5 linked regions of the Oryctolagus cuniculus genome follow. The protein of the gene in region 2 purifies or fractionates together with the protein of the main gene of each other region. This does not show direct contact. Links are inferred from orthologs where the notes say so. Each region holds a gene or a part of one and is shown on either strand. Other genes may lie near its edges. The genes, in order: MORF4L1, KDM5A, PHF12, GATAD1 and SIN3B.

Region 1 (4,069 bases), on a different chromosome or scaffold from region 2:
GGCTCTGTAGCGTAGGGGGCACTGGCATCCCACATGGGCGAGACCCCGCTGCTCCACTTCCGGTCCAGCTCTCTGCTCTGGCCTGGGAAAGCAGTAGAAGATGGCCCAAGTGCTTGGGCCCCTGCACCCACGTGGGAGACCTGGAAGAAGCTCCTGGCTCCTGGCTTCGGATCAGTCCAGCTCTTGGCTGTTGTGGCCAATTGGGGAGGGAACCAGCGGGTGGAAGCTCTCTCTCTCTCTCTCCACCTCTCTAACTCTGCCTTTCAAATAAATAAATCTTTAAAAAAACCCCAATATATAAGTACTTTATATTGTAAACAATGTTTTTTAAAAAGTCCTATAGGGTCTAGTTTTGGTGGGGCTGGGGCCATGGAGAGCCCTCGCTGCTTCCGTCCGTGCCCTCAGGGGCAGTGGAGGAAAGCTGAGCTGGTGTTGGTTCAGAGCGAACGAGGAAGACACCTTCTGGGTTGTCGCAGGTAAAAGCAGGGGCTGTTACATGGAGGCTGGAGTCACAGCAATGGCGCTGCGTCCAGAATTGGCGCGCGGAGGATTTGCAAACCTTGCACGGCGGGTGGGCTGGGGGCCGCTGCGGGGACCTGAGCCCCCGGCTAAGCGCTTGGCTAAGCGCTCCGCCCAAGACCACCAGCCCCCCACCCCCGCCCTGCGTCTCCCTCCTTAGTTCCGCAGGCCGCGGCCCGGCGAGCAGCGAAGGTAGAAACGGGAGTCCAACAATGGCCCTCGGTCCCGTCCACCCAACAAGCCGGCCACGACCCTGCCCCACCAGGAAGCTTCCAGACGTCGACCATTTCCCGAGCCCCGGGTACCCCTCATCTTTGCGGCCTTGGCTTTGCTGAGGGGAACTCCGCAAGCAGTGCGATTCCCACTCTTCCCCCGCGGCTGGCCCCCCGAACCGCAATCCCAGCTCTCACAACCCACAAAACCAGCCCCAGCCGTGAGCCACCCGCGCCGACGGCGCGCGGGCGCCCACGCCGGGTGGGGGAGGGGCGCCTCGTTCCCGCCCCCGCCCCGCGGCGGCGCCCGCCCCGCCGGAACTACAAGTCCCGGCATGCCCCGCGGCGGCGCGGGCGCAGCGGCGCGTGCGCGGCGGCCGGCAGTTGGCTGGCGCGACGCCTGCGCGGGTCGCGGGGCGGTGAGGTGTGCGGACGCTGGCAAATCGGGCCCAGGATGTAGAGCCGGCGGTTCCTGACGGCGCGTCTGACGCTGAGTTGGGTGGGGTAGAGAGTAGGGGGCGGTAGTCGGGGGTGGTGGGAGAAGGAGGAGGCGGCGAATCACTTATAAATGGCGCCCAAGCAGGACCCAAAGCCTAAATTCCAGGAGGGTAAGTGTGCGCCTTTGAGGGGAAGGCGCCTAACGGCCCGGGGAGGCAGGCGGCGCGGGGTGGTGGCGGCCCGCGGGCCGGGGCGGGGGGCTGAGCTTTGTGCGGGGAAGCGCATTGCGCACGGTGGCCCCGGGCGGCCCGAGGGGAAGGGCTTTGTGCGGCGGAGGCGCCGAGGCGGGCGTCGGGGCGGCGGGAGGCGCGCCCGGCGCGGGGCAGAGCCTCGGCCGAGCGTTTGTTATTGTTTGGAGGAGGAGGGCGCGGGCGAGGCAGCCCATTGTGGGGCGGCGGCGCGCCATGGCGGCCGTTAGGGGAAGTGATGTGGCGTGGGGGAGGCGGCGGCGGCGGCGCGGGCGACGGGCCCGCGGCCGCGGTGGCGGGAACCGGCCGGCGGAGCGTGGCCGCCGGCAGCCCCGGGGTGGTCGGCGTTGGGCCGGGACGCGGAGCTGCGGCTGAGGGGGGTGTGGGGGTGCGGGTGGGGGATGGGCGCGGCGCCCCGGGGCGGGAGAACTGCGTTGTAAAATGGCCGCCGCAAGATGGCCGCCGGCGTCGGCGTGGGCCGCGGCCCCGGTGCGGGGCGGGCGCAGCGCCCCCTGGCTCGGCGTCCGCGCGGGGAGGCCCGAGCCCCGCGCTCACCTCGGAGCGGCGGGTGGGGGGCGCGGAGGGGGAGAAAAACAAGACCGGAGCGAGCTGGGCGCTCGGGGCGGCTTTGTGTGGCCTGCGGGCATCGCTGGCTCCGCCCAGGGGCGGGGCCCGGGGTGCGCGTGCGCCGTGCGGCGGCTCGTGTGCCGCGCAGAGAAACGGGCTTTGGTGCGGCCGCGGACTGTGGGTGACCCGCGGCCATAAAACCTGATGAAGTGACTCGACGGAGAATTTGTATTGATTTTTTTTTTTTTTTTTTTATGGGCGAGCGTTTCGGCCGACTTGGGCGAATGGCGGCCCTGGCCTTCGGCGCCCGTGGAGTGTGTATGAGGCTGTCTGTGTTTGCGCGGGTCGCGGGCCGGTGAGGTCTGGGCGAGGAGGAACTGCCCATTTCCTTTCGTGCCAGGGAGATGGGTGCTGAGTACCTCCGATGCCCTGTCCGACGTGCGCGCGGCCTGTGTGGGGGCTTTTCAGGTTGAATGCGTGCAGCTAGGAGAACTTTAAAGACGGAGCCCCAGTGTGCCGTGACTTCAGTGGGATGTGAGAGGGCTCTCCCGGGGTCCCGGGGTACTGTGGGTGATGAGCGCCTCCCGCCTCCCGCCGGGATGCCTGTGGCTGTGTCCTCTGGAGTCGTGATTTTGCTAGGTGTTCAGAACAGGGGTCGATGGATGTCGTTCAGAAAGCCCGTGAGCCTGGCGGGGCACAAAACTTTTTTCTATCAAGGCTGAAACTAGCTATTGCGGATATTAATGGAAACGCTCTCCCTCAACAGCTGAACGCCTCGTTGTAGCAGTGTACTTTTTATATCCCAGCTTTGTGTGGAAGATACAGACCCTGTTTTACGTGTTTGTAGAAATGGAAAAAACTATAGGCTCCGATGTAGGAACAACTCTGCAGCACTTTTTTTTTTTTTTTTTTTAAGAGTTATGGAGCTGGTGCACTCGCTAGATGGCCCCACCAGCCCAGGCCAGGCGCTTCATCTGGGTCTCCCACGTTGTGTGGGGCCCAGGCACTTGGGCCATCTTCTGCTTTCCCAGGTGCCATAGCAGGGAGCTGGTTTGGAAGTGGAACAGCATGAAGGCCGCAGCTTTACCCATTGTGCCACTTGCCCCTCCCCCCGTGTTTCGGTTCTAAACCACAGGAATGGTAGAGTGGGGTGATACTAGGAAGGAACATGGAACCGAGGTACCCAGGTGCGGTCTCCGCGCTTGCTGGGTAGTTTTCTGTTGCTTCACACCTGAATTTAACAGTTTTCTTTGTAAAACTAAAATATTCAGAGAATATCGTGTTAAGGAAGAAGAAATGTTTGTTCAGTGCTACCCGAATTGAAACATTATAGAAGAGAATGTAATGTGATGGGTAAAAGTAGGAATTGCCAGAATTTGATTTTTTTCTGAGTAGTGTGAACCCAGGTTTACTCATGGTACAGAATGTCAGCACAAAGCAGATGAAAATGCAGCGAGCAGTGTTCAGGCATGATGAACGCGCAGGCTTGGGCCACTTGCAGCTGTTAAAGCGCAGGGCAACGGACACTTGGACATTATCCCCTTTGAGGGGAGACAGTTCTGTCAGGAATTAAGAAATTGGCTGATGGTGGCTTTTAATGAGCACAACCAGTGGGAGGATGGGAACTCGGGACTGTCATTAATCTTGAATTTGAAAACATTGAGCAGAATTCGCCTTGGGACTAGAAAGGATTAATGGTGGAGAATAGTGTGAAAAACCTACCAAATATGGTGGCCTGCTGTTTCCAAATTACTGCTCTTCTACTTCAGCGAAAAATCAACGATTTGTTATCCAGGGTCATGCTCTTAAGCTAGCTGGTATTTCAACAGAATACTAGGGTCAGGTAGCTAGAATGGAGGTCAGAAGGTATCAGCCTTAGGGTAGTTTTTGGCAGCAGCCATCAAGAAAAGAAGAGAGGAGAGATTAAGCCATTTTCGCGGTACCTTAAAAATGTACATGGAAGTGGAACCAGGGAGCTCACAGATCAGCTCTTTGGTGCTGTTGTTTGTTAGCAGTGTAGTTTATCTGTACCCCTAAGCTGTTGGAAAAGTCACTGATCTTGGTATCTCAGTCTCCACTTTGATT
Region 2 (3,514 bases):
AATTGGGAAGTGAACCATCAGATGGAAGACCTCTCTCTCTCTCTGCCTTTCCTCTTTCTTTGTAACTCTGACTTTCAAATATATAAATAAATCTTAAAAAATTATTTTCATTTAGTCAAAAAGCAGAGTGACAAGAAACAGAAATTTCACCCCCAGTACACTCTCCAGATGCCCTGCTGCCAGGGCTGGGCCGTGCCGAAGTCCGCAGCCTGGAATTCCATGCAGATCTTCTATGTGGGTGAAAAGGTCCCACGCACTTGAACCATCATCTGCTTTCTCTCAGGGTGTATTAGCAAGAAGCTGGATTGGGAGCAGAGTAGCTGGGACTTGAATTGGCATTCTAGATTGGGATGTGGGCCGTGGAAACAGTGGCCCTAACCTGCTGCCCCTTACACCCACCCTAGTAATGATTATTTTTAGAAATTATTTTCATGTTGTGCCATTGTACTTTTCATGTTTATGTCTTAAATCAGAAATTTGCCCACAGAGATAAAAATCAAGATTTTTGATGCCTTAAAAATTAGAAAGATTTCATTTACTGGCATAAATTATATTTCAGGGTGTCCTGATGTCAGAAGAAGAGGTGTTTGAACTTGTTCCTGATGATGAACGACAGTGTTCAGCATGCAGAACCACCTGTTTTCTCTCTGCTCTCACATGCTCCTGTAATCCTGAGCGGCTTGTATGTCTCTACCATCCAACTGATCTGTGCCCCTGCCCCATGCAGAAGAAATGTCTTAGGTATCTAAAAGTGTCTTGTAAGGCCTCCATTATCTTGTTAATGATATTGTTGGTTAATGATGTTGTTGGTTATTCCCTTCTCTGTCTCTAGATTGATACCTTCTGTTTGTTCCTCTAATTCCCCTGCTTGAGAACTAGTCCTTTAAAGTTGGACCATACTTGGCAGCTAAAATGTAGTTTCCTTATTATTTATTTCATATGTTCTTTATCTCCCTTTGGTTTAAAATTGTGGGCTTTTTTGATTTTATATAAATCAAGATCCTATTCCTCTGGCCATTGTACTTAAGCTGATTGTACTTGAAACTTATTTTGACGTTGTTATTGGATTTAATCTCTGGTTTTTTTTTTTTTTTTTTTTTTTTATAGGTATCGTTACCCTTTAGAAGACCTCCCTTCTCTGTTATATGGTGTGAAAGTCAGGGCACAGTCCTATGACACCTGGGTCAGTCGTGTTACAGAAGCATTAGCTGCTAACTTCAACCACAAGAAAGGTTACTTTTCCCCTTTTGGATGAATTTGTTGAAATGAATGTCATTTTAAAAGAGGTCTTTTTCAGTTTGGGTTATTTTTTCCTCTGGGATTGAGACTAGGGGTTGATTGAATATAGACTTGATTTGTTGTTGTTGAAAGGTTTACTTATTTTTATTTGAAAGATAGAGAGGGAGAGACAGAGGTCAGTCTTCCAGGCACTGGTTCACTCCCCAAATGGTCACAATGGCCAGGGCTGGGCCAGACTAAAGCCAAGAGCCAGGAGCTTCTTCCAGTTCTTCCACATGGGTACAGGGGGCCAAGCACTTGGGCCATGTTCTGCTGCTTTTTCCCAGGCCAGTAGCAGTGAGCTGGATCAGAAGTGGAGCAGCCAGGAATTGAACCAGTGGGATGCTTGTGTTGTAGGTGGCAGCTTAATCTGTTATGCTACAGTGCCAGCCCCTAGACTTGATTATTATGTTTGTGAACAGGCATTAGGGAACGAGCACCCACCTGGTCAGCAGCTTTCATTGCACAGCTGTGGTAGGTTTCTATTAGGTTGATAACGCACTTGAGTGAGTTTAGGGAACATTTTAGAATGGCTTTTGTTCTGTGATCACAGTATATGGTATTTTTATTTTTACAGATTTGATTGAATTGCGAGTAATGCTGGAAGATGCTGAGGACAGGAAATACCCAGAGAATGAGCTCTTTCGAAAACTCAGGGATGCTGTAAAAGAAGCTGAGACCTGTGCTTCTGTGGCTCAGCTACTCCTGAGTAAAAAGCAGAAACACCGGTAAGCGTAACAAAAGTTTGATTTTCTACTGGCTCTTTGTTGCTTTTGGAGTGAAAGAATTTTTTTAAAGCTGTCAGAAGTATGCAGAATGACTTTATTTTTTATTTTTTAAAAGTTTATTTATTTATTTGAAAATCAGAGTTACACATAGAGAGAGGGAGAGAGGGAGCGCTATCTTCCATCTGCTGGTTCATTACCCAGTTGGCCGCAATGGCCAGAGCTGAGCCAATCCGAAGCCAGGAGCCAGGAGCTTCGTCCGAATCTCCCATGTGGGTGCAGGGGCCCAAGGAATTGGGCCATCTTCTACTGCTTTCCCAAGCTGTAGCACAGTGCTGGATTGGAAGTGGAGCAGCTGGGTCTCGAACTTGCACCCATATAGGATGTCAGCACTGCAGGTGACAACTTTACCTGCTATGCTACAGCACTGGCCCAAAAAGCCAGAATTTTAAGTTACCTGTGAGATCTGACATTATCTTTTACTTCTTGTGGCCTTGACTTTCTATTCCCCCAAAATATACCTGCTATTTTCTTCTTTTTTAGGGGGCAGAGGTGCTCAGAAACTGTGAAATATTCTTTAATTTTTTTTCTAAAGATTTATTTATTTATTTGAAAGTCAGAGAGAGAGCTCATCCATCTGCTGATTACTCCCCAGATGGCCTCAGTGGTGGAGGCTGGGGCAGGCCAAAGCCAGGAGCTTCTTCCAGCACTTGGGCTGTCTTCTGCTGCTTTTCCTGGGTCATTAGCTGGGAGTTGGATTTGGAGTGAAGCAGATGGGGCTCCAGCCAGCGCCCATATGGGATGCCAGTGTCACTGTTGGAGGCTTTACCCACTGTGTCACAACACTGCCCCAAGAAGCTCTTTATAATTCAAGTTAGTGTAAGTTGCTGTAGCAGGACAATAGTAGACAGGTCTGCTGGACCCAGTGCTGCTGATTACATTGAAGTTTGTATAGTGGCTGTGGGTCAAACCCTTGGCGGTAGGCGGGAAAATAATTTTGTAAGGCCTACGAAGTTTAGTTTATTTTCAATATAGCCAAATTAATTAATTAATTAATTAATAGCTATATATTTTATGGCCTGGCTTCATCTCTACACTGAATGCATTTAGTGACTTCTAAAATTAGATTTTTGAAACATGATTCCTGAATCTTGAGGTTTATATAAATTTTCTTTAAACGTTTTCAAAAAAGATTTCATTTATTTATTTGAAAGAGTTACACAGAGAGAGAAGGAGAGACAGAGTGAGAGAGGTTTTCTATCCGCTGGTTCACTCCCCAATTGGCCGCCAAAAGCTAGAACTTCGCCAATCTGAAGCCAGGAGCCAGGAGCTTCTTGGGTGCAGGGACCCAAGAACTTGGGCCATCTTCTACTGCTTTCCCAAGCCATAGCAGAGAGCTGGATTGGAAGTAGAGCAACGGGTCTCAAACCTGTGCCCATATGGGATGCTGGCACTATAAGCAATGGCTTTACCTGTTACGCCACAGTGCTGGCCCCATAAAATTTTTTTTT
Region 3 (3,514 bases), on a different chromosome or scaffold from region 2:
TGTGTCTCAAATGTCTTCCCCAAGACTGAACAGAAAAAGCTGTGGTTGCCATCTCACTCCTGCTCTGAGGGAGAATAAAAAAGCCATAGTGCTTTACTAAGCCCTTTAAAAGCACACAAGGAGATGCGAGATACTGGAAGCTGAGATTCTCCATGGAAGTAAAGTGGCTGTACACACAGAGGGGAGAGCTGGTGGTGCAGTGGTGCTGTGTGGTGTGTGCATGCGCACCTTCTGTGTGGTGCCCTCCGGAAGCCAGTGGATGTGTCCCGACACTGCCTGGTGAAGCTTGGACCCGGGAGGGGAAAAGCTGATGTATTCTCTGCAAGGCCAGAAACTTGATCAGCTTCTCGTCCAGCATATTTATCTCGATTTCTATTAATCAAAGAAAAAGATTAAAAAGCAGCTGAGGTGGAAATGGAATGTGGAAGTAGTTAAGGGTCACAGAGCAAAAAGTTCAGCATTTTTGAAATCCAGTCAAACAGCATCGAGTATAGAGGGGTTCAAGGAAGCAGAGCCAGGCAGCTCGCCATGTGCATGTGGGTATTTGGGCAGAGTAACTTTGGGTGAAGTGGTCCTAAAAAGGCAGAGCAAAATAAACCACTTGCCTACCTACGGGGACAGCCTGGTTGTCTGGTTTTGAGACTTGGGTTTCTATCTACCCTCTGTTCACAGAGGTCAGGATCTGTGCCTTTTCTCCTTGACTCTGGGGGTTGATGACTCCTTGACTTCGAGGAGGAAGCTCCCAGTTTTGCTCTGAAGGCCAGGTGATCTGCTGAAGTCACTTTGTTCTTGGCTCACTGGTTCAGCTCAGCCTTGTTTTCCCTTGTCTTTACAGGTACATGCATGTGTAGAAGGCAGAGCTAGCTTTTTTACTCCAATTCTCTACCCAAAGGGGCACTCCACACCCTCCACACCTTAGTCCCCTGAGATCAGGCATTGTTTCTTTTCTCTGTCTCTGAAATGAGCCAAATGTCGGACAAGGAAGGCCCCTGCACCCCAGCAGTTGGTAGAACAGAAGCAGCTCACGCACTCACCTCCATTGACATCCATAAATGCTCGAAGTGAGTTGGTGAGGTCCACCATGGCAGTAGAGTTGGCTGGGAAAGAGGGTACGGTTAAAGCGCTTCCTATGGATAACGTGCCGGGGCTGACCTTGCCATCTGGGGACGGAGCAGGAAGACTTGTTACTTACGTAGCCTGAGGGAAACCCACTGATCCAATCCCCCACTGCTGAGACAGGTCTGGATTTCGGACCAAAGGTGATGTTCCCTTCTTGATTCTCAACCCATAGGTTCTGGAACTCCTAGAGCTAAAAACGTGTGGTGAGGAAGGGCAAACGGAATGACAATGCACCCAGGGAACGCAGCAGTCTCCAGAGCACTGAGAGCCACTGTGATCTACTGCTTTGGGAAAGTGGTGGGGCAGCTTCATTTTCTGGGCCATGACCACCACCCTGCTGCCTCTAAAGGAAGTTGTACTTTCCTCTGTAATTCCTACCTACTGAAGTACGACTCAGAGCGTGCAGAAGCTATCCAGGCTGATATGAAAAGGTAAACCGAGACAGAAAAACAGCCTGGGAGCAGGGCCATCCTGGGACCAGGGGCCCCCATGCAGGGAAATCACAGTCACCTGGTTACCGAGACTCCCAGCTGACTAGGAGGCCGGCTTCAGTTCGGACAGGAGAGACCACAGGGGGTTCCAGCAGCATCTGAAACCTGGTTCAGATGCTGGGGTCAGCAACCTTGGGCTCCTGAGTGCTGACTAGGGGCAGCTGAGCAAGCAGGTCCATACTGGGCCAAGTATAGACTTAAGGGAATGCCCTTTAGCATGGAGCCTGAGAGCAAGCTTCTGAGCCAGACCAACCTCCACGGGCATCCCACTCTGAAGCTACTCTAAAACACTGTGATACTTTCTGTCCCAGTTTCCCTGACATGGAAGTTCCTCAAATGAGCTGGCTCAAAATCTCTACCAGGCATGGCTCTAGTCTTGTGTGAAACATGAAACACTGAGGCCATTACCTAGACCACAGTGGTTCCAGATAGCATGATGCTGTTTTTGAAGGTGATAGAACAAAACGAAACAGCCAGAAGTCTAGGCCTGGAAAGTGGGGGAAGGAGTCAGGAGACTCAGGTTGCAGTTCTAATCCGGCCACTGGGCACCATTAAGGAAATCATGTAAGCTTTCAGAGCCTAAGCAGTCCCACCTATAAAAACGGGGACAGGTTGACAATATGCTTCCTTTTCTATTACACAAATGGCTGTGGGGGGGAGAACAAACAATACAGAGATCAAAATCCCGTGATGAGAGCCAGCATTGTGGCACACAGGGTTAAGCCACCACTTGTGATGCTGGCATTCCATATCAGAGTGCTAGTTTGAATTCCATGAATTCCAGCTACTTTGCTTCTGATTCAGCTTCCTGTTAATGCACCTGGAAAGATGGTGGAGGACGGCCCAAGTATTTAGGCCCCTGCCACCCATGTGGGAAACCTGGATGGAATTTCTGGCTCCTGGTTTTGGCCTGGTCCAGAGCTGGCTGTTGTGGCCCTTTAGGGAGTGAACCAGCAGATGGAAGCTCTCTCTGCCTTGCCCTCTCTCTCTGATGCTCTGCCTTTTAAGTAAATCAGTATTAAAAAAAAATTCATGTGACATAGTCACAGCAGTATAAATGCTTTTGGAATCTTAGGTCTTGCCAGGAAGAATGTAAAATCACCCCAGACTGAGTAGCACTCACCTGATGATGGCGCTGGTGAGCAGAATCGTTGGTTGGCTCCTGTGGCCATGATACCATCTCCTGCTGCTTGGGGGGGAGTGAGCACCCGGGTGGCATTTGGGGGTGAGCCCAGTGGCCTTGAGTCTGTCAACGGAGGTCCTATCTGTGATTGGACAGTCTTTCTTTGCAAAGTGCTGGTGTTCTCAATGCTGGCACAAGAGCTGGGAATGGAAGGGGGCAGGCTTGGGACAGGAACCAAACTCCTCTGGGGGCAAGAGCTGGGGCCAGTGGCATTCTCTGTCTTCACAATGATGCCGACGGTGTGGTTCTGAAGCCCCCCAGCCGCTGGTGGCGTGAGGGGTCGAGGCCAGCTTTGCCGGTGTGAGAGGCCTGGTAGGGGGGTGTTGGCGCCTGGAAGTCGCCGGGGGTCCGTGGAATCAGTGGGGCTGCTGTAGAGGTGAGGGCCATTGGCTTTCACCTCTGTGTTCACTGGCCCGTTGGCAGTCCCACAAGGGGCTTTCTTGGATTTTTCCGCACAAGAACTGCAGCTGATGTCCTCTAGGGCTGGGGGCTGGTGGGGTGGAGAGCAGCTCAGGGAGTTCTGGGTGCTAAACCCTGAGGGGCAGGACAAGGGGTAGTGGGAAGCTGTAGGTGCCTTGTCAGCTGTTTGCAGGGAAGTGGTGATTGAGCTGTCAGTCACAATAACAGGCTTAATATCAGCCTTCTCTGTCTGTTCAGAGTCCCAATGCGAAGGCATCTGCTTAGCAGATAAATGTTTCAATATGCTGCACTGGAGCGCAAC
Region 4 (3,514 bases), on a different chromosome or scaffold from region 2:
CCTCCCAGTCTCCCATGCGGGTGCAGGGCCCAGGCACTTGGGCCATCCTCCACTGCCTTCCCGGGCCACAGCAGAGAGCTGGACTGGAAGAGGAGCAACCAGGACTAGAACCTGGTGCCCATATGGGATGCTGGCGCCACAGGAGGAGGATTAACCAGTGAGCCACAGCACTGGCCCCAGGATTAACTTCTAAAAATCTGAATACTGGGGCCTGCGCTGTGGTGCAGCAGGTTAAAGCCCTGGCCTGAAGCACCAGCATCCCATATGGGCACCAGTTCAAGTCCTGGCTTCTCCTCCACAATTTAGCTCTCTATTACAGCCTGGGAAAGCAGCAGAAGGTGGCCCAAGTCCTTGGGCCTCTGCACCCATGTAGGAGACCCAGAAGAGACTCCTGGCTCCTGGCTTCGGATCAGCTCAGCTCTGGCCGTTGCAGCCATCTGGGGAGTGAACCAGCGGATGGAAGACCTCTCCGTCTCTACCTCTCTCTATAACTCTTTCAAATAAATAATAAAATATTTTTTTTTATTTTATTTGACAGGTAGAGTTATAAACAGAGAGAGAGAGACAGAGGGAGGGAGGGAGGGAGGGAGGGAAATATCTTCCTTCTGTTGTTCACTCCCCAAATGGCTGCCACAGCCGGCACTGCGCCAATCTGAAGCCAGGAGCCAGGTGCTTCCTCCTGGTCTCCCATGCGGGTGCAGGGCCCAAGCACTTGGGCCATCCTTCATTGCCCTCCCAGGACACGGCAGAGAGCTGGACTGGAAAAGGAGCAACAGGGACTGGAACCCGGGGCCCACATGGGATGCTGGCACCGCAGGCAGAGGATTAACCAAGTGAGCCACGGCGCTGGCCCCCTAAAATAAATCTTAAAAAAAAATTTGAATACTTCCAAACTTGTATTAATCAGTAACTTTGTTTAAGTCTACATCAAAAACCATCGTCAGTCTCTTAGCAACCTTGAACTTCCTAAAAGTGCAGCAGCTGACATTTCAACTGTCAACAGCGATATGCTCCAAAAGGATATCTAGGATGACATGTGCCACATTCAGAGGGACACCTACGGACCCCCTGTAATATTTCAGAAATAACTGGAATAGTTCTTTCAAAAACTAATATTTTTTTAAAGTTTTTTTTTATTTATTTGAAAGGCAGAGTTAACAGAGAGGCAGAGGCAGAGACAGAGATGGAGAAGTCTTCCATACACTGGTTCGCTCCCCAGGTGGCTCCAACATGGGTTTAGGGGCCCAAGGACTTGGGTCATCCTCTACTGCTTTCCCAGGCCATAGCAGAGAGCTGGATCAGAAGTGGAACAGCCAAGACTTGAACTGGCACCCATATGGGATGCCAGCGCTGCAGGCGGCAGTTTTACCTGCTATGCCACAGCACCGGCCCCTTTAAAATTATTTTTGAATATATGTTTACAAGAAACTCAGACATCCTAGTTCCTCAGCAGTAAGTTCTTTCGGTACACCCGGCCACTCAGGAAAGTCCCGTCCACATCACTTCTGGGTAGGTGACGCTGCTCTGACTGGAACAGCTGATGGCCTCAAACCTCAGCTCCATTAAATGCCCCTCGCTCCTTCTGCACAGCCCTCTTTCTTTGTACTCAGTGATGCTCCCGCGTTTCTGTTGCTGGTGCCGACTGCTGTGTCCCCACACAAAATCCCGTGGGGAAGCCCTAATCCTCAACATGATGGCCTTTGGAGCTGGGACCTTCCAGGAGGTAACTAAGGTGAAACGAAGTCACAGGAGCAGGACCCTCATCTGACAGGAGCTCTCCCACAACGTGCACACACAGAGGAAACCCTAAGGGGACATGGCAACAAAGCATTCACCTACAGCCAGTGCTGTGGTACACTGACAAAGCCCAGCCTGCAGCGCCAGCATCTCAAATGGGCACTGGTTCGAGTCCTGGCTGCTCCACTTCTGAACCAGCTCCCTGCTAGCACACCTGGGAGAGCAGCAGAGGATGGCCCGGGGACCTGGGCCCCTGCACCCACACGGGCGACCCGGAAAAAGCTCCTGGCTTCTGATCAGCTCAGCTCCAGCCGTTGCAACCATCTGGGGAGTGACCCAGTATATGGAAGATCTCTCTGTCTCCACCTCTCTGTAACTCTTTCAAATAAATAAATTAAAAAAAAAAAAAAATCACCTATAAGCCAGGAGGGAAGCCTTCCCCAGAAACCAGCCCTGGCTGCACCTGGATCTTGAATTCCAGACTCCAGAACAGTGGAAAACCAAATTCCCACTGCTTAAGCCACCCAGTCTGTGGTATTTTGTCACAACTGCCCAAAAAAGACTAATGTACTCTTTCGTATAATACTGGAGACTTAGCCAAGTTCAAGAAGCTGTTCTGAGTGTCAAACTCACCTATGATATAGGATGCAGGATCAAACCGGTCTCTGGGGCTGGAGAGAGTGGGAATGAGCCACGTCAGAGCCGCACTCTTCTCGCAGTACTGGTCCTGGATGAAACCCCTGATCTGAGCGTAGTAGGGCTTTCCATCTTGCTCATCAATCACAGAAACCACGTCGCCAATTTGGTAATACACACCCTGGGAGAAAGAGGAGTATCCCATCACGGAAGAACAGCATCACAGCTCTGAATCAGTGAGGCCCGCCTTACCATCGAAGTTTAAAGTGGTCAACAAAAGGTCTTGGAGATGGTCCAGCGTCAATGTGTATATGCTTGAAACCAATTCTAAAATGATTTAAAGAAATCAGAAACAGATATGCAAGGCGTATGTGATCATCTGCATCTGGAACAGAGTTCATCCAAACAAGTGCTTTGACGCTGCATCACAGCAGTGCTGCCTTGAAGAAAAGCAGCCTTCATTTGCTGGGAGCAGTTTTAGGTTCACAGCAAGAGCAAACCCGAGGCACAGACTTCACACGCCCTCCACCGCCACCCTGCACATCCTCCTGCATCCCCAGCACCCTCCGTGGCGGCCAGAACGCCCGGCACATGGAGGAGCCCTCGCTGACAGCCACAGACCACGGCCGCGGGGAGGGCCACCCTGGGTGCTGGGCCGCCCCCACAGTGCCACAGTCATGGTGCTGCGGAAAGGCCGAGACCCGCTAAGGGCTCTGAGGGGGACACTGCAGCCGCAGCTCCTAGGTCAGCACCCTGGCCTCTCTGCGCTGCCCGGACACCAGCGCGTACCTCTGAGAACAGACCTGCACACCTCCCACCCCAACCACCTACTCCAAGGAAACAGATACCATTCAGTTCAAACCAAAGGAATGACAGAAACTCTTGCGACAGTAATATCTCCAGGACATGTTTACCCTCAACGTACTGTCCATTTCCTAAACTTGCTGCTGCCCGCCGCCTCTGCTCTCTGTGTTTCACATCACCCCACGCTGCAACTACTGGCATTTCTGCCATTCAAGGCCTTGTGTCTTATCCATGTTATATACAACTAACGCAGCTACACACATCCTGTGTTAATGCTTCCTACACCTCTGCCTTCCATTCACATCTTCTTCCCTGGCTCTTCAATCAAACAATCTCT
Region 5 (3,943 bases), on a different chromosome or scaffold from region 2:
CTGGGTGGAGTCTCCCTCTTGGCTTTGACCTGGCCCAACCTGGGCTGGGGGGGTTGGGGGGGAATGAACCAGTGGATGTAAGATCTCCGTCTTTCAAATAGAAATACTAAAAAGTAAAAATAAAGCGGCCAGCGCTGTGGCGCAGTGGGTTAATGCCCTGGCCTGAAGCGCCAGCATCCCATATGGGCGCGGGTTCTAGTCCTGGCTGCTCCTTTTCCAATCCAGCTCTCTGCTGTGGCCTGGGAAAGCAGTAGAAAATGGTCCAAGTGCTTGGGCCCCTGCACCCATGTGGGAGAGCCGGTTGGAGCTCCTGGCTCCTGGCTTCAGATCAGCGCAGCTCTGGCCGTTGCGGCCAATTGGGGAGTGAATCAGCAGATGGAAGACCTCTCTCTCTCTCTTTCGCTCTGCCTCTCCTCTCTCTGTGTAACTCTTTCAAATAAATAAAGAAATCTTTAATAAAAATAAAAAGAGTCTAGTTTGGGTTGTGTTTTCTAGATGATGAGGGGACCAGGCTATTTTTTAAAGGATTATTTGGAAGCCAAAACGACAGGGTGGGGGCAGGGGGAAGAGAGAGAGAGAGGGAGAGGGAGGGAGAGAGGTGTCTTCCTTCTGCTGGTTCACTCCAAATGCCCACTCCTGACGCAAGTCCACAAGAGCACCGAGTTCGGGAACTCTGGTTTGGCGGCCCCGGAGCGGGTCCAGCTGCAAAATGATGGGGAGACGGGAAGTGGAGAGAGGAGGAAAGGGGCAAAGTCAAGGACCTTGTAGCCAAAACGGCCCCGAGCAGGCCCCGGGGTGCTTCAGGCCTGTACCCCAGGGTCACTTCAAGCCCTGCACAGCAGGGGAGCCACACACGTCTTCCATAGAGCCAGCAAGGGGGGGGTCCCCGTGGGCAGGGGTCGCGGCTGCTTTGCTGCTACTGGGCGAAAGCAGCCAGTGCTCGGGCCTGTGTTTCAATAAAACTTTATTTACAAACACAGAATTTTCTTCCATCAAGCGGGGCCTGACAAACGCTTAGCCCCTGCTCTGCTCTGTCAGTCAGCAGCCAGGACCTCCAACTTCCAGAACTACACCTGCCCCAGGGCCCCGCCCACTCCTCGACGTCATCGGCCCCGCCCCGGGGAGGAGCCGCGCGTGCGCGACCGGGGACTCAGCGGAGGCGGGGCGGGCTTCGGCTCTGACTTCCAACATGGCGCACGCGGGTGGCGGCAGCGGCGTCGGGGGCTCCGCGGGCCGAGGGCTGAGCGGCGCCCGCTGGGGTCGCTCGGGCTCCGCGGGCCACGAGAAGCTGCCCGTGCATGTGAGTGGCACCCCCTGCCTGCCTTCGGGGACCCCCGTCGCGCGGCCCCCGCGGCCTGCGCCCCCTCACCCCGGCCCCACCCGGCCCCGCTTCGGCCTCCCCTCTGCGCAGCCCGGGACTCCGGACCCCAGACCGACCCCTCGGAGGCGCAGCCCGCTGCCCTTGCTGCCCGGGACCCCGCCGTCCCGTGCCTTGCCCGCCCCCGCGACCCCTGCCCACCGGGACCCTCCCCGTTCCCGCAGGTCGAGGACGCGCTGACTTACCTGGACCAGGTGAAGATCCGTTTCGGCAGCGACCCTGCTACCTACAACGGCTTCCTGGAGATCATGAAGGAGTTCAAAAGCCAGAGGTACCCGGGACCCCCCATCCCCATCCCACCCCCCGCCGCGGGCTGGAATCGGGCCAAGCAGACTGGGGGACCCGGCTCCCCGGGCCGCCTCCCAGCGGGGTGACCTTGCACAAGGGGTTCATCTCCCGGGGCTTCGACCCCTCCAAAAAAAACCCAAAAAAAATTGGGGAAGGAGTTGTAGCCACGATTGGGGGGGGGTGCGAGGTTGGGGTCTCTTATTTTAAAATGCTGGTTTTGAAAAGTTCAGTTTGGTCCTCATTGGCTCCCGCTAGCCCCGGGGCTGCTCAGAAGTAAGGGGTACCAAAGGCTTAGGGAGGGACCTGCCACGCGCCCAGACTGTTGGGAACGCTGTCTTGGTAAGCTGGAGGTAGAGGGGGCCCAGACCCTCAGGTGTGTACTGTTTTCTTATTTATTCGCGTGAGAGAGAGAGCGCATGCGCGCGAGAGCGAGCGTCCATCCGCTGGGTCACTCCCCAAATGGCTGCAGCAGCCAGGGCTGGGCCAGGCTGGAGCCAGGAGCCGGGAGCTCCATCCGGGTCTCCCACGTGGGTGCAGGGACCCCCAAGTCTTCCTTCGCTGCGCCGGGGTCTGGAGTGGGGCTGCCATGTGGGATGCGGGCGGCGCAGGCCGTGGCCCGTGGGTCCTGTCCCCGCGACTCGCGGAAACCCGGCTGGACAGGTTTCCTTTCTGGGCCGCTCCTGCGGGGGCCCGGCACGGGGGGGGGGGGGGGGCTCTGCCCTGGCGTTCTTCCCGCGCCTCCCATACTTTGTCGCAATCCCGTTGCTCTGATGGGAGCCTGTGTCACAATCCGGTACCGTGGGGTTGAGCACGTGGCGTCCCCAGCCAGGCGGCGGGCCCTTCTGCTGTTCACGGAGTGCGTGGCCAGCAGCGTCTGGGGGAGCTGAGCCCCGAGACCCCTCTCCCTGGTCGCCCGAGGGGCGGGTTTGCAGGGGAGCGGAGGCGCGGGGCTCTTCCCCGGCCCACCGGCCGCCGTGTCTGCCCCTCCCGCAGCATCGACACCCCCGGAGTCATCAGGCGCGTGTCGCAGCTCTTCCACGAGCACCCCGACCTCATCGTGGGGTTCAACGCCTTCCTGCCGCTGGGGTACAGGATCGACATCCCCAAGAATGGCAAGCTGAATGTGCAGTCGCCCCCGTCAGGCCAGGTACGCGCGGGAGGGCGGGGCAGGTGGGGCGGGGCGGGCGGGTGGGCGTGGCCTTGGCCTGCTGCTGCCCAGGCGCGGCTCCCAGCACGCGATCAGAGTAGGCGGGGCCACCTCCACGCGCGTCCCTGGGCTCCTGACTGGTCTGTGTGGAAGATCTCGGGGCGGCGCCCTGCCGACACGGAATCTCACGTCAGAGCCGGAAACGCCACGTGAAGCCGTGGCGTGCGGCTTTCCCAAGCGTGCCAGGCAGGCTCGAGGGTGTGTGTGTGCACGCGCGCGTGCAAGCAGCTTTGCTTCGTTTAATTGCTCCTGGGGCACTGGCTCAGCTCAGGCTTGTTGGCCACGGCTCCTTCTGTCTCGGGGTGACAGCTGCCCGGTCTCCCAGCCCCTGGGACGCAACGAAGGGCCGCCTAGCTGCAGGTGCGGGAGGTGACCGAGGGCTTTGCCTGCACCTCCTGCTGTTGCCACCTGCGGCATCCCTGCCCCGCCCCCTCCCCAGTACTCCCCGCTGGTGTGAGGGAGCCGGCTCCGCCTCCGCCTCCAGCCCATGCCCCGCCCCGTCAGCGAGGGGCAGGTCTGGAAGCACCGGGTGGAGGCTGCAGAGGGGCCGATGTGTCCGGGAATCAGGACCTGGGCAGAGAGCAGCTCGCGGGGACGTGCCCGGGGCCAGCCCCTCCCCGTGCGTGCACGGCGCACGTGTAAACCCGGCTTGCCCACACAGCAGCACCGCCCCCTCGCCACTGAGGACTGAGCCGCGGCCTGCGTCTCCATGGGGAGAGGCTTGGAGGCGGGGCCGGGGCTTCAGGCCGCCAGAGCCTTAGCGGGTTCAGCTCCCCAGTGCGGGGCAGCAGCGTCGCCCGTGTCTGCATGCTCTGTACACACCGGGGCATCCCGGATGTCCCCACCCTCGCCCGCTCACAGCGCTCACCACCCCTAACCCCCTAAGTGGGGGGGTCACCCCACTTCCCCGGGCCAGGTCTCGGCAGGAGCCGCACCGGGAGGGTTACTGGGAGTGGGTGCCTCCCGGCAGTAGTCCCAGGGCCCCGCTGTCCCCCAGGGCTGCTGTCCAGATGACGAGAGCGGGCACGATCCTGTCCCCTCCCCAGGGGGTGGAGGTGACCAGAGCGCCC

What was found.
Region 1: the proteins of KDM5A (region 2) and MORF4L1 purify together in Homo sapiens (affinity purification with mass spectrometry; 5 studies listed by BioGRID and IntAct, counting the BioPlex papers as one, with this or other methods). This does not show direct contact. The link is inferred for Oryctolagus cuniculus from reciprocal best matches to the Homo sapiens genes KDM5A and MORF4L1.
Region 3: the proteins of KDM5A (region 2) and PHF12 purify together in Homo sapiens (affinity purification with mass spectrometry; 3 studies listed by BioGRID and IntAct, with this or other methods). This does not show direct contact. The link is inferred for Oryctolagus cuniculus from reciprocal best matches to the Homo sapiens genes KDM5A and PHF12.
Region 4: the proteins of KDM5A (region 2) and GATAD1 purify together in Homo sapiens (affinity purification with mass spectrometry; 6 studies listed by BioGRID and IntAct, with this or other methods). This does not show direct contact. The link is inferred for Oryctolagus cuniculus from reciprocal best matches to the Homo sapiens genes KDM5A and GATAD1.
Region 5: the proteins of KDM5A (region 2) and SIN3B purify together in Homo sapiens (affinity purification with mass spectrometry; 4 studies listed by BioGRID and IntAct, with this or other methods). This does not show direct contact. The link is inferred for Oryctolagus cuniculus from reciprocal best matches to the Homo sapiens genes KDM5A and SIN3B.

Annotation. Positions count from the first base shown.
Region 1 is NC_091443.1:105,842,925-105,846,993, reverse strand, and holds the start of MORF4L1 (mortality factor 4-like protein 1), read left to right. Parts: upstream 1-1,265; 5' UTR 1,266-1,299; coding exon 1,300-1,339; intron 1,340-4,069. UniProt on the Homo sapiens protein: Component of the NuA4 histone acetyltransferase (HAT) complex which is involved in transcriptional activation of select genes principally by acetylation of nucleosomal histones H4 and H2A.
Region 2 is NC_091440.1:98,148,144-98,151,657, reverse strand, and holds part of KDM5A (lysine-specific demethylase 5A), read left to right. Parts: intron 1-559; coding exon 560-741; intron 742-1,107; coding exon 1,108-1,232; intron 1,233-1,855; coding exon 1,856-2,006; intron 2,007-3,514. UniProt on the Homo sapiens protein: Histone demethylase that specifically demethylates 'Lys-4' of histone H3, thereby playing a central role in histone code. Does not demethylate histone H3 'Lys-9', H3 'Lys-27', H3 'Lys-36', H3 'Lys-79' or H4 'Lys-20'.
Region 3 is NC_091448.1:44,391,418-44,394,931, forward strand, and holds part of PHF12 (PHD finger protein 12), read right to left. Parts: coding exon 2,734-3,514; intron 1,161-2,733; coding exon 1,035-1,160; intron 373-1,034; coding exon 229-372; intron 1-228.
Region 4 is NC_091447.1:43,279,436-43,282,949, reverse strand, and holds part of GATAD1 (GATA zinc finger domain-containing protein 1), read right to left. Parts: intron 2,555-3,514; coding exon 2,371-2,554; intron 1-2,370. UniProt on the Homo sapiens protein: Component of some chromatin complex recruited to chromatin sites methylated 'Lys-4' of histone H3 (H3K4me), with a preference for trimethylated form (H3K4me3).
Region 5 is NC_091447.1:65,102,346-65,106,288, forward strand, and holds the start of SIN3B (paired amphipathic helix protein Sin3b), read left to right. Parts: upstream 1-1,142; 5' UTR 1,143-1,189; coding exon 1,190-1,300; intron 1,301-1,542; coding exon 1,543-1,649; intron 1,650-2,659; coding exon 2,660-2,813; intron 2,814-3,943.